Linked DNA regions of Macaca mulatta. The protein of the gene in region 1 binds, or shares a complex with, the protein of each later gene. Links are inferred from orthologs where the notes say so. Each region holds a gene or a part of one and is shown on either strand. Other genes may lie near its edges.

Region 1 (3,500 bases):
CATCCTGGCTAACACGGTGAAACCCCGTCTCTACTAAAAATACAAAAAATTAGCCAGGTGTGGTGGCAGGCGCCTATAGTCCCAGCTACTCGGGAGGCTGAGGCAGGAGAATGGCGTCAACCCAGGAGGCAGAGCTTGCAGTAAGCTGACATCGTGCCACTGCACTCCAGCCTGGGCGAGAGAGTGAGACTCTGTCTCAAAAAAAAAAAAAAACAGTTTAAAATGAAGCCCGTGAATTTAAAAACTATACTTCTGACATATTTTCCTTTCAAAATTTCCACTTTTCCACTCTAATAGCTGAAATTTTTTTCGTAAATAGCCTACCATGTAGCTGCAGATAGACTTTTCTGCCTCAAGATGTAAACAGAGGGGAAAAAATTAACAGCATCCGCATAATATTCTCTATATACACTGCTACTGGATGGAAAATACATAACTTAAAAAAAAAAAGGTTCCATCTTAGATTCGCACAACCTCTTGTTCTGCCATTCATGACTCTGACTCTGACGCTAAGGTAACGGTGTATGTAAGTAGATTTTTGTTTTCAGCAAAGGAGACCTGAGAAAAGATGAATTTATCTCTTTTTCTTCAAGAGTTATCAGATAGTCTGTAATCCCAGCCCTTTGGGAGGCTGAGGCAGGTGGATCACTTGATCTTGATCACTAAGTTCAAGATCAGCCTGGCCAACTTGGTGAAACCCCATCTCTACTAAAAAAAATACAAAAATTAGCCAGGTGTGGTGGTGCATGCCTGTAGTCCCAGGTGCTCAGGAGGTTAAGGTGGGAGGATTGCCTGAGCCCAGGATTTCGAGGCTGTAGTGAGCTATGATTGTACCACTGCACCCCAGCCTGACAGAGTGAGACCTTGTCTCAAAAAAACAAAAAAACAAAAAACAGTTATCAGATCGTACATACTCCTCAGAGCCCTCAATCTTGAACTAGAGCACGTTCCAGGATCACATGGCCTTCCTTATAACGCTGGCTGTCTTCGGTGGCAAACTCATAGATCCATCCCAGTGTGCTATTACAGTTTTTCAGCTCACATCTCAAACCATGTGGTGGCCAGTGACCATGACCCAATCTTGAGCTTCATTGTACTGCAGGTTCACTACCTTGTTAAAAAGAAATACTCGGCCGGGCGTGGTGGCTCAAGCCTGTAATCCCAGCACTTTGGGAGGCCAAGACGGGCGGATCATGAGGTCAGGAGATCGAGGCCATCCTGGCTAACACGGTGAAACCCCGTCTCTACTAAAAAAAAAATACAAAAAACTAGCCGGGCGAGGTGGCGGGCGCCTGTGGTCCCAGCTACTCGGGAGGCTGAGGCAGGAGAATGGCGTAAACCCGGGAGGCGGAGCTTGCAGTGAGCTGGGATCGGGCCTCTGCACTCCAGCCTGGGCAACAGAGCGAGACTCCGTCTCAAAAAAAAAAAAAAAAAAATGCTCTGCCAGCGGCACCTGTGAACCACGTGGAGATGAATTCTGAGCAGTTGGTCAGGATTGTATCACAGTTTGCATAAGAAAATGGACAGGTACCACCAATATGATCAAGGAATATTCTGCCTATTTTTATGGCTGAAGTTCTAAAACCCCGTGCAGCGGTGAGATCTGTGGCTGCCAGTGGCGCCTTGCTCCTCAGCTGGAATTAATAAACAAGCTTTTGGGAAGGGTGGGGGAAAAGAAAAAAGCTCCTTTTGAGGAGTAATAATAAAAGTTAGAATAGCTTATCAGTATAGAAACTAACCCTGATATGTTCAATTTGCAAAGGTATTTTTATATTGTTAAAATATTTAAGTAATATTTTTGCACATACATGTAAGCACATGTATACAATTGCTATTTGTGTGTGTGTATGTGTGCACACACAGGCTATGCGTGTGTATGTGTGTGCACACGCATGCAATCGCAGGTTAACAAGTAATAGAAGCAAGACATAACCGCAATTATTAAGGTTAATTTTGTTCGATGCTGTAGTATATATGGAGGCCACATTCCACTACAAGCAATGGCCAGGGTATGGTGTTAATTTTTATTATAGTAGAGTTTAATTGCATAAAATATCGTCCTAAATAAATGACCTATCAAGTTTGGAAATGTCTCTATGTAACAGAATCACAGTGAAATTTGAATTTTGTAATGCTGTTTTTTATAAATTTACATAATGTGATTTGGAGTGCAAAAGTGTTCCAAATCTGTTTATCCAAAATTTTCAAATTTGGTGAATTCACTTGGACACTGTTCTTGTATACTTCAGTGCAACAGTCAGTGAGAAAGAAAAGCATAAACTTTTCAAACAAATGTCTCTTTTTCAACAGGAAGACCTCTGGAGATACATTGGAGCTGATGGAGGAGTCACTGGACATAAATCTGTTGAATAATGCCGTTCGCCTAAAATTCCAAAATTGCAGTGTTTTACCTGGAGGGGTTTATGTCTCTGAGACTCAGAATCATGTGATAATCTTGATGTTAACCAATCAAACAGTGCACAGGTTACTTTTACCACACCCCTCCCGGATGTATAGGAGTGTAAGTTGGCTAAGTGCAATATGTTTTATTTCCCAAATTACTCTGGGTGTCACAAATTTAGTGCTGGAGCGATATCTTTTGGAATTGAAGGAAATTTGGATTCTCATTATCCCTCACCAAGCATACTTTGATAGCTACCACTTAAAATGATCAGGCATACATTTTAAGTTGAGAATTAATTTTCATTAAAAAGAATGACTTTCTTCTTAAGCTTGACAGTTTACAGTTTTTTACTTTAAAAACTTTTTTAGCAATAGAGAGAAACTGAGCAAAATTCTGGTTATTTTGATTTAATAGATTCTTCTTTTTAATTACTCAACAGGAGTTGGTAGTTGAAAGTCAGATGCAGTCAATATTCACTGACATTGGAAAAGTTGATTTCACAGATCCTTGCAACTATCAATTAATTCCAGCAGTACCTGGAATATCTCCTAATTCCACCGCCTCAACAGCCTGGCTTAGCAGTGATGGGGAGGCCCTGTTTGCCTTACCATGTGCTTCTGGGGGAATCTTTGTTCTTAAGCTACCTCCTTATGACATACCTGGTAAGAATGGGAAATGAGCATGGATTTAAACAAGGAATGTTAATATTGAAACAGACCTTGAAAGTTCAACCTCGTCATCCAATGCAGGGATTGCATCTCTATTGCCCCGAAACTGGTCATTCATTATTGCTTGCCTAATGAGTCCCTAATGCTTTACTTTTATACAGTGGATAAGGAACTATAAAGCATATTGGAGCATGGAAAAACAAGTAGATAAGTATAAGACAGCCTATTCTAAATCCTATAGTAGAGATGAGTTGCCTAATTGTCTACCCTGAGATGGAGGTGTTATAACATTATAATTAAATTAATTGAAACAAAGACATTAAATACCCTGCACCAAATTGCCACTATGTCTTGCCTGGATTATTGTATTAGCTTTATATATATCTCCCCAGATCTGTCCTTAACCCTCTTCAGAAACTTCTCAGGTG
Region 2 (4,232 bases), on another chromosome or scaffold:
AGCTTCATCAATCATTTCCTATATGACAGTAAAGATTCAGGTTAGATTAATTTATAAACTAATGCCAAAAGGTGACTAAGTAATATGACTCTTTTTAGAGACGGGGTCTCTATGCTGCCCACACTACTCTCAAATTATTGGCCCCAAGCGATCCTCCTGCCTCAGCCTCCTAAAGTACTGGGATTACATGCATGAGCCACTGTGCCTGGCAAGCAATAGACTTTTAATAACACTATGTGAATAGATAATTGTAGTCCACCCAATGCCAGTATGCCACTCCTGATAATAGCTTGGTTCCTGAAAACTTATTTGAAAACCAACTCATACTTTGTCAAACATTATCACCTGGGAGGGAGCTTGAAGATTACCTTGACTAGAGGGATTCCTGGAATGTAAAATAGTAGGCAAAACTGTGCCTATGTGCATTTTTCTGGAAGCAGCGTTCATAGGTTTGTCTGACTATTAAAGGAGAATTCAGTTGTCCACAGAGGGACAAAGTACACTGGCTTTCCTTCAAAGAAGTGCTCACACTAGGGAAAATGTAACAGAAAAGTCACAGAGGGCCCAAAGGTGGGAATCTTAAGTTCCAGTGTGATGCATTACAAACCTGCAGCTCCTCATCAGTCAGGTTCTCACCCAACTCCTTGGCCACGCGTTTCAGATTTTTGAACGAAATCTTCCCAGTTTCATCATCATCAAAGAGCTTGAAAGCTTTCAGGATTTCTTCTTTGGTATCTTTCTCAGACTTACCAAATAGAACATGAAACACATGAGTAGGGGGACACCATGGTTACTCATGTCCTGTAGCCCTGCCACTGCCCGGTCAGGTCACCCTTTCCTTTTTAACAATGTAACTCGAGTCTAGACTTGCAGCAAGTGTCAGGAAGCCCATTTTGGCCTCAGAGAAACACCAGTCAAGCCAGGCACTCCATCCAAGGTGACGTTTGCTCCCTATCCCTATATCTCTCCCTATCCCATATCTATTTCCTAACTGGTTTAGAATTCTGTGGGAAGAGGTATCTGCTTGGAAGTCTTGAGAAAGAAGTACAAGGGCTTGTTTTGGGAGCCCAAGGTAACATGATGGGAGGGCAGGCCTCCTGATGCAGCTGCTACCTGGACTGCTCTGTGGTCACATGACTGTTTTAACAGGCAGATGCCATGGGCCTCTGCAGATGACTGGGGCGCCATACCATGCAAATTGTCTTAGCTACTCACCATTTTCTGGGTCATCACAGTTAAAAAGTCACCAAAGTTCATTTTTCCTGTCCCTTCTTTGTCAATTTCACTTATCATTTTCTTAATTTCTTCTTTCTTAGGTTCAAAGCCCAGGGCCCTCATTGCCACCTATAATGAAAACAGGATTGTCTCAATAAGCACATCTGAACTAGCAGCAGCAAAAACAACAGTGTTGAGAGCATTAAGCCAGCATCTGATGTGGTCATGTTAATATGATTGGGGAACACTATAACATTGATCTAATTGACATTTGCAATCAATTTTATTTAATAATACTCTAAGTAAAGACAGGAAAACAGAGCACAGTACAACCTCCCCTGTTACTTATTGCAGGGAGAAGAGGGCAAAAGGGGTAGAGAGGTGATAGGGAGATGACAAGGAAGAGGCAGAGGAAAGGAAGGGCAGTACGGCAGGAATGCATAGAGCTTGCCTTAAGTTCTTTAACATCTATGGTGCCAGTTCCATCCGCATCGAAAAGATCAAAAGCTTCCCGGATCTCCTGCTTCTGCTCTTCAGTAAGCTCAGGCTTAGGACTCATTCTTTTTCTCTGGGAACTTGATGCCATGTTTGTCTTCTTAAAGTTGGAGGCCTTCATACGTTATGCAATACACAAGCACAATAATATATCGTACAGTCCATATTTACATAACATAGTTACAGACACCCATATGTAGTTTTAAATAATTTTATGGCAACCAATTCCAAAGCTTTGCTTAACAAGAAAGATAACAGGGTTTACTGGCAAGAACAATGAATCTTTCCATGAACTTCTATCCCTCCCTTTTCTTTACTGTCGTTTCTAGAAGCAGGGAGATCACTTGTTCAGTAAGGATACCTCTTACTGAAAATCATCCCAAAAGAGAGCTAGTCAAGAAAATGACTGCGAATAAGTAGAGATAATCAGCTCTTCCCGAATGTGGGGATCCTGGTTCTGGAAACTGCCTTACAATGCCCACTCCCAGTACTCCGCTTCCCAGTAAGCACTCTGACTTCCCAATTACTTCTAGATTTGGCCAAATATTAGCAAGTTGTTAAGATGTATATTGTGTCAGTATCGAGTAATAAAACTCAATCCATCTGACACCTTCGTGCCTTCTCCAAGAAGCTACAGCATCCCCTGAATGCCCCTATATTTAAATTGTAAAAAACACTTTAATAGAACACAATACACCTTCTCCCAGCTCTGTGTGGAAATTTTGGCAGAATGAGGCGGCCAGGGGGCCAAGGTCTGAGAAAGTCAGGGGCCTGTGAGGGATTCGAGTCTTTTTTGCCCAGGGAGGTTCACCGAGGTGATCAGGGAAGGCCAGGGGAGCCCGAGGGGCGGGTGTGGGCCTGTTGTGGGTGAAGGGGAGGCAGCAGCAAAGCGCAGGCCCAGTAGGTTGGTTAGCGTCTGTACCCTACTCTTCCGGGAAAGAGCTCAAAGGAAGGACTGGTGCGTCAAAGCCGAGAAAGGCGCAGGAGAGGCGGCGTGGCCGAGCTGGGGCCTGGGAAGGGCTCAGCCTCTGGGCGTGGGGCGCGACAGAGCGGCAGCACTCACCATAGCCAAAGGAGTCCACGGCCGGTTGTTAGGCAACCGACGTGTACACTGATTCGGCGCCGCTCCCACCGCCCCGCGCGCACAGCCCCGCTCCCCATTGGGCGTCCGCTCGCCGCCGCCGCTCCCTACTGGTGCAGGGCCGAAGAGGGTGGGACTAACCTGGCAAAGCCCAGGCCCAGCGCGGGGAGGGGCACGCTGGGGACAGAGACCTGTCTTTATTGGGCAAGATCAAGCCGTGAGCGCCAATTGGCTGAGCCGACGCCGAGCTGGGCCAATCCTCTTGGTAGAAGAAGCTCGGCTGATTCTCGGCTCACGCGGGAGGGGAGTAAAGGGTGGCGTTCCGGGGCTGGAGTTCGGTGGGTGCAGCCTGCTTGCGAGCTGAGGCCAGCCAGTGGGGCACCTGCGGACGGGTAAGAGTCGTGGCCTTGCCCTTGGAGGCCACCCTGTGTCAGCGACTGGGCGGGGCGGGAGGGTGAGGAGCTGCGGGGCCGCCCGGGTCGGGTGCTTTCTGTGCTGACCTAAGGCTGAGTTAGGGACCGAGTGCATCAGAGCAGCCAGAGACGATTGACCTTGCGTGTTGGAGCAGGGACTGTACTCACGGGGCAACTGAGACCCGGAGAGGGGAAGGGGTCTGCTGAGCGTTGTGGCAGAGGTCGGACGGCTGGGACCTAGGAACTGAATCCAGCCGAGGCTCGCTCTTTGAGGGTGGCCCTTCGAGAGCACCCCCAGACTGACCCAGATGTGTAGGCCCCAGACCAGGTTCCAAGAGAGGATCACTTCAGGTCTTACCTGGCTAAAAACAGCCCAGGACGGTGAACTGGGGGCTTTGGGAACGGACTTTGAAAGGAGTGAAGGGGATGTGAGCAAGCAAGAGGGGCGGGGAGAGGTCATCAAAATATACTCTTTTTGACACCCACACAGTGCAGATAAGGAGGAGCATTCCAGGCCGAGACGCCCTCATCAGCAGAGTCACAGGAGTTTTGGAAGTGAGAGGTATGCTTGGAGAATTAAAAGGGAGCGTGTGCAAGGGCTGTGTGGACTGAGACAGACCTGCAGAAGTGGAGCTGGAGGTCCAGTTTGCCCTCTTTAGCTGTCTACGTGGCTTTTAGCCTTCACCTGATTTTCCTCCAGGCACTGGGGCAGTAATCTAGGGAAGTAGAGGGCAGAAAGTAAGTTTTTCAGGCAGAGAAAGGCCTGAGGCTTATTAGAACCTTTTAAATGGAGCTTCTGCCCTTTGCCCTCTTCAGCAGTGAACAGACTCCTAATTTTTGGGTCATCATCATCCCCCCAAGTAGTACGAGCCAGAGTTCTCATCATGGTCTCCAAAGCTTGGCACGACGTGTCCCCTCCCATCACTCCACAACTCTTCTCTCAGCCCCAGAACACTGGCTTTGTGGTTGAACCTCATGTGCCAGCCACACTACTGCCTCTCATCTTTGTCCCAGTTGTCCTCTCTGTC
Region 3 (4,169 bases), on another chromosome or scaffold:
TCTGTGGGGCGAATGGTTATTCCTATATACACGGTTGAACCTGGAATAACATGGGTTTGAACTGCCTGGGTCCACTTATAAGCCGACAGAAAATACAGTATTCGAGGGGCCGGCATATAGGGGGGTCCGACTTTTCCTCTGAGAGTTCCATCCTCAGCACTGACTGCGGGATTTGAAAATCCGCGGATTTGTTGTTGTTGTTGTTGTTTTTAAGAGGAAGTCTTACTCTCGCCCAGGCTGGAGTACAGTGGCGCGACCTCAGCTCACTGCAACTTCCGCCTCTCAGTTTCAAGCAATTCTCGTGCCTCAGCCTCCCGAGTAGCTGGGATTACAGGTGCCCACCTCCATGCCCAGGTAATTTTTTTTTTTTTTTTTTTTTTTTTTTTGCATTTTTAGTAGAAACGGGCTTTCGCCATGTTGGCCAGGCTGGTATCGAACTCCTGATCTCAGGTGATCCGCCTGCCTCAGCCTCCCAAAGTGCTGGGATTACAGGTGTGAGCCACCGCGCCCAGCGGAATGCGTGGGTTTTGGCATAAACCGGTGGTTCTGGAACCAATCCCCCGCCAAGGGATGACTTTAAAAAATTGTAATTGTCCAAAACTTAGTATTTGTGGCCTACTTTTTCATTATGCAATTCTAAATTTTTTTTTTTTTTTTTAAATTCAGACGGAGTCTCGCTTTGTCGCCCAAGCGGAGGGCAGTGGCGCAATCTCTGCTCACTGCAACCTCCGCCTCCCAGGTTCAAGCGATTCTCCAGCCTCAGCCTCCCGAGTAGCTGGGACTACAGGTGCGTGCGACCCCGTCCTGCTGATTTTTTTTTTTTTTTTGTATTTTTAGTAGAGATGGGGTTTCACTGGGTTAACCAGGATGGTCTCGATTTCCTGACCTCATGATCCGGCCGCCTCGTCCTCCCAAAGTGCTGGGATTACAGGCGTGAGTCACCACGCCCGGCCCTCATTTCTTTTAATAAATACGAATTTTAAAATGTATACTTTAGTATTCACACGTCCGATGCAACGTATTTAACCAGTCATCTCCAGAAACGTTGTTCCAATTTACACGCTCACCAACTTGGCCTGAGTGCTTTTTTCTTCCAATGCGTGGCGCACTTATAATTTAGAACAAGCGACCAAAACGCTTAAGAGCCCATCACGCAAATTGTTATCTGCTGGAAATCTACGCCCACGCTGTGGACGCGGGGGCCGAAATCTGATCCCGGCTTCCCAAGACACCGCTCAGAACCCAGCGAGCTACCAAGAGCCCGGCAGTGTGCAGCTCTAGCGCCGACGTCGCCAACGTGGCGCACAGTGCTGACGCAGTACGCAAGTTCGTCGGGATGGTCCTCCGCTGGCGACGTCGCTGCGTCACTGGTTTGCAGGCGCTTTCCTCTTGGAAGTTGCGACTGCTGCGGGGCTGAGCGCTGGTCTCCCGCGCCTCGGGAGCCAGGTTGGCGGCGCGATGAGGCGCAGCAAGGCCGACGTGGAGCGGTACATCGCCTCGGTGCAGGGCTCCGCCCCGTCGCCTCGAGAGGTGAGTGGATCTCGAAGAGACCGACGGCTTCGACCTGGCCGGGCGGCGGCCTCGCGAGGCTCGGGCGTCATGGCTCCCGACGGGCGCTGCTCCCTGGCGCGCACTGTTGAGGCGCCGGCCGGCTAGCGCGGTCCTGTGGGCGGCGTGGCGCTGGCAAGCGCAGGGAGAGCCCTGGGGGGACCGCTGTGGGCGGGAGACCGTTGGCGCTGGCGCTTCCTCTTTCTCCCGGCCTGTTCCCGACGGTCCTCGCTCGTGGGCCCGCCCTGGCCCGGGCTTTCTGGCCGGTCGCGCGCCGCGTAGTACCCGCGCGGCCTAGTTCTCGGGGGGCTTGGGCACCCGGGTGCTATGTCGGCGGGATTCTTCCCATCCCCCGGACATTTTACGTGTTGCGGCGGAGGTCGTACCTCCTTGGCCTGGGGGAACCCAGTGGGGACTGACGCAGCTCCCGGGTGCGCTTTGGCGGCTGTGACGAGTGACAACGTAGGGATCTCAGCGCGAACGTTTGCAACGGCCCGACGGCGCAAATGACACGCGAAGTCCCCTTGTTTTGAGTATGAGATGTTTGTCGCTGTCCCTTTATAAGGGTCCAGCTCCACTCCTCATACTCACCTCCCCCACCCCCAGAACAGTTTGGTAGGTGCTTTTGCTTTAAAAAAAAAAAAATTATAAATTTCTTATAAATCGTTAGTATGGCTTACAATTTTTAACCTTTTCCACAAATGTTCTTAGGATATTTTTCCTCTTTATAGGTAAATAATGTGATCTGTTTTGGATTCAGTAAGACTTTAGCAATTGGATCTAAAGAGTGACGGAAGAAGCTATTAAAGGTGGATGTGCACAGAATGTTGAGTCAGTTTGCTTTGGCTTGAATAATCAGCCCTGTCGTTCATAAGCTGGGTATTTGGGGCCAGTTACACTTTCCATCCATAGGTGGAGTTGTAACGTTGATAGAATTTGATAGGATCCATTTTAAACATTTAGGGTTGTGCTTGATACATAGCACTGAATGTTAGCTACAAGTCACTGTTTTTATTGTTGATGTTAAAAGGATATTGGCGGGGCCCGGTGGCTCACGCCTGTAATCCCACCACTTTGGGAGTCCAAGGAGGGCGGATTGCCTGAGGTCAGGAGTTCGAGACCAACCTGGCTAACATGTTGAAACACCGTCTCTACTAAAAATCCAAAAAAAAAAAAAAAAAAAAAAGCCGGGCGTGGTGGCGCACGCTCGTAGTCCCAGGTACTCCGGAGGCTGAGGCAGGAGAGTCGCTTGAACCTGGAAGGCCGAGGTTCCAGTGAGCCGATATCGTGCCACTGCTCTCCAGCCTGGGCGACAGAGGGAGACTCCATCAAAAATAAAAATTAAAAACAAAAAAAACAAAAAAACAAACGGAAACTCACGGATGACCATGATTATAATAGCAGCACAATTGTGTCTTTTATCAGTGCTTCCAGCAGCCCTGTGGATATTGAGACCTGTAGAGATTAAAGATACCTGTTCAGGGTCAAATAGGAAGTGCAGCAGAATTTTGGCAGTGGTTCTGATTTAGTTTCTCTTGGGAACAGTGGAGTAAGTTACAGCCTGTTCCTCCAGAGAGGAGGAATAGATACCTACTTGTACATTGTAATTTCAAACTGCTGGCGTAGTCATAAATATGAACGTGGTGATAGAGTCTAAAACAGACCTTATTGAGGGTTCCAGTAACTCCTGAAATTAAAGACTTTAATTTTTATGGTTTTTTTTTTTTGAGGTGGGGTCTCACTCACTCTTGTCACCCAGCTGGATGCAGTGGCGCTATCTCGACTCACTGCAACTTCCACCTCCCCAGCTCAAGCGATCCTCCCACCTCAGTCTCCCGAGTAGTTGGTACCACAGGTGCACCCACCACACCGGCTTGTTTTTTTTTTGTTTTGTTTTGTATTTTTGGTAGAGACTGGATTTCACCATGTTGCCCAGGCTGTTCTCGAACTCCTGGGCTCAAGTGATTTCCCTGCCTCCACCTCCCAAAGTGTTGGGATTCCAGGCGTGAGCCACTGCAACGGCCATTATTTTATTTTTGAGACAAGGTCTCTTTCTATCTCCCAGGCTGGAGTGCTGTGGCGGGATCATGGCTCACTGTAGCGTTGACGTCCTGGACTCAATCCATTCTCCCACCTTAGCCTCCTGGGTAGCTGAGACTACAGGCATGCCAGCTACAGGCATGCACCACCATGCCCGGCTAACTTTTTTCTTTAATGTAGAGACGGGGTCTTACTATGTTACCCAGGCTGGTCTCCAACTCCTGGGCTCGAGTGATCCTCCCGCCTTGGCCCCAGGTGCTGAGATTACAGGTGTGAGCCACTCTGCTCAGCCTGTTTTTTTTTTTTTTTTTTTTTAAACAAGCTTAAAAAAAAAAAAAAAAAAGCAAGCTTAGAGCCTTTCTGAGATTCTTAGGGGGGACCTTGGCTTCCAAAAGATTAAAAACCACTGGTCTAGACAGAAGTTAGAATGTTCTTTCAACTACATAACTTTTCCATTAAATAAAGTGGAGTGGTGGCAAAATTTTGAGGATTCATTGTTATGACCACTTCTCTCTTTACACTTAAAGAATATTTTTTTTCCCCCAAACAAATTGAAAGTCATTTACATTAGAATTTGGGGG

The links.
Region 2: NUP160 (region 1) and centrin-2 share a complex: the UniProt entries of both Homo sapiens proteins name them as parts of the nuclear pore complex. The link is inferred for Macaca mulatta from reciprocal best matches to the Homo sapiens genes NUP160 and CETN2.
Region 3: NUP160 (region 1) and RANBP2 share a complex: the UniProt entries of both Homo sapiens proteins name them as parts of the nuclear pore complex. The link is inferred for Macaca mulatta from reciprocal best matches to the Homo sapiens genes NUP160 and RANBP2.

The regions. Positions count from the first base shown.
Region 1 is NC_133419.1:17,747,256-17,750,755, forward strand, and holds part of NUP160 (nuclear pore complex protein Nup160), read left to right. Parts: exon of another isoform or gene 1-1,127; intron 1,128-1,437; exon of another isoform or gene 1,438-1,634; intron 1,635-1,808; exon of another isoform or gene 1,809-1,820; intron 1,821-2,310; coding exon 2,311-2,521; intron 2,522-2,843; coding exon 2,844-3,066; intron 3,067-3,500. UniProt on the Homo sapiens protein: Functions as a component of the nuclear pore complex (NPC). Involved in poly(A)+ RNA transport.
Region 2 is NC_133426.1:159,106,006-159,110,237, forward strand, and holds the start of centrin-2, read right to left. Parts: upstream 2,801-4,232; 5' UTR 2,777-2,800; coding exon 2,774-2,776; exon of another isoform or gene 2,408-2,773; intron 1,826-2,407; coding exon 1,667-1,825; intron 1,345-1,666; coding exon 1,216-1,344; intron 746-1,215; coding exon 608-745; intron 19-607; coding exon 1-18. UniProt on the Homo sapiens protein: Plays a fundamental role in microtubule organizing center structure and function. Required for centriole duplication and correct spindle formation. Has a role in regulating cytokinesis and genome stability via cooperation with CALM1 and CCP110.
Region 3 is NC_133418.1:19,291,953-19,296,121, forward strand, and holds the start of RANBP2 (E3 SUMO-protein ligase RanBP2), read left to right. Parts: upstream 1-1,369; 5' UTR 1,370-1,458; coding exon 1,459-1,530; intron 1,531-4,169. UniProt on the Homo sapiens protein: E3 SUMO-protein ligase which facilitates SUMO1 and SUMO2 conjugation by UBE2I. Involved in transport factor (Ran-GTP, karyopherin)-mediated protein import via the F-G repeat-containing domain which acts as a docking site for substrates.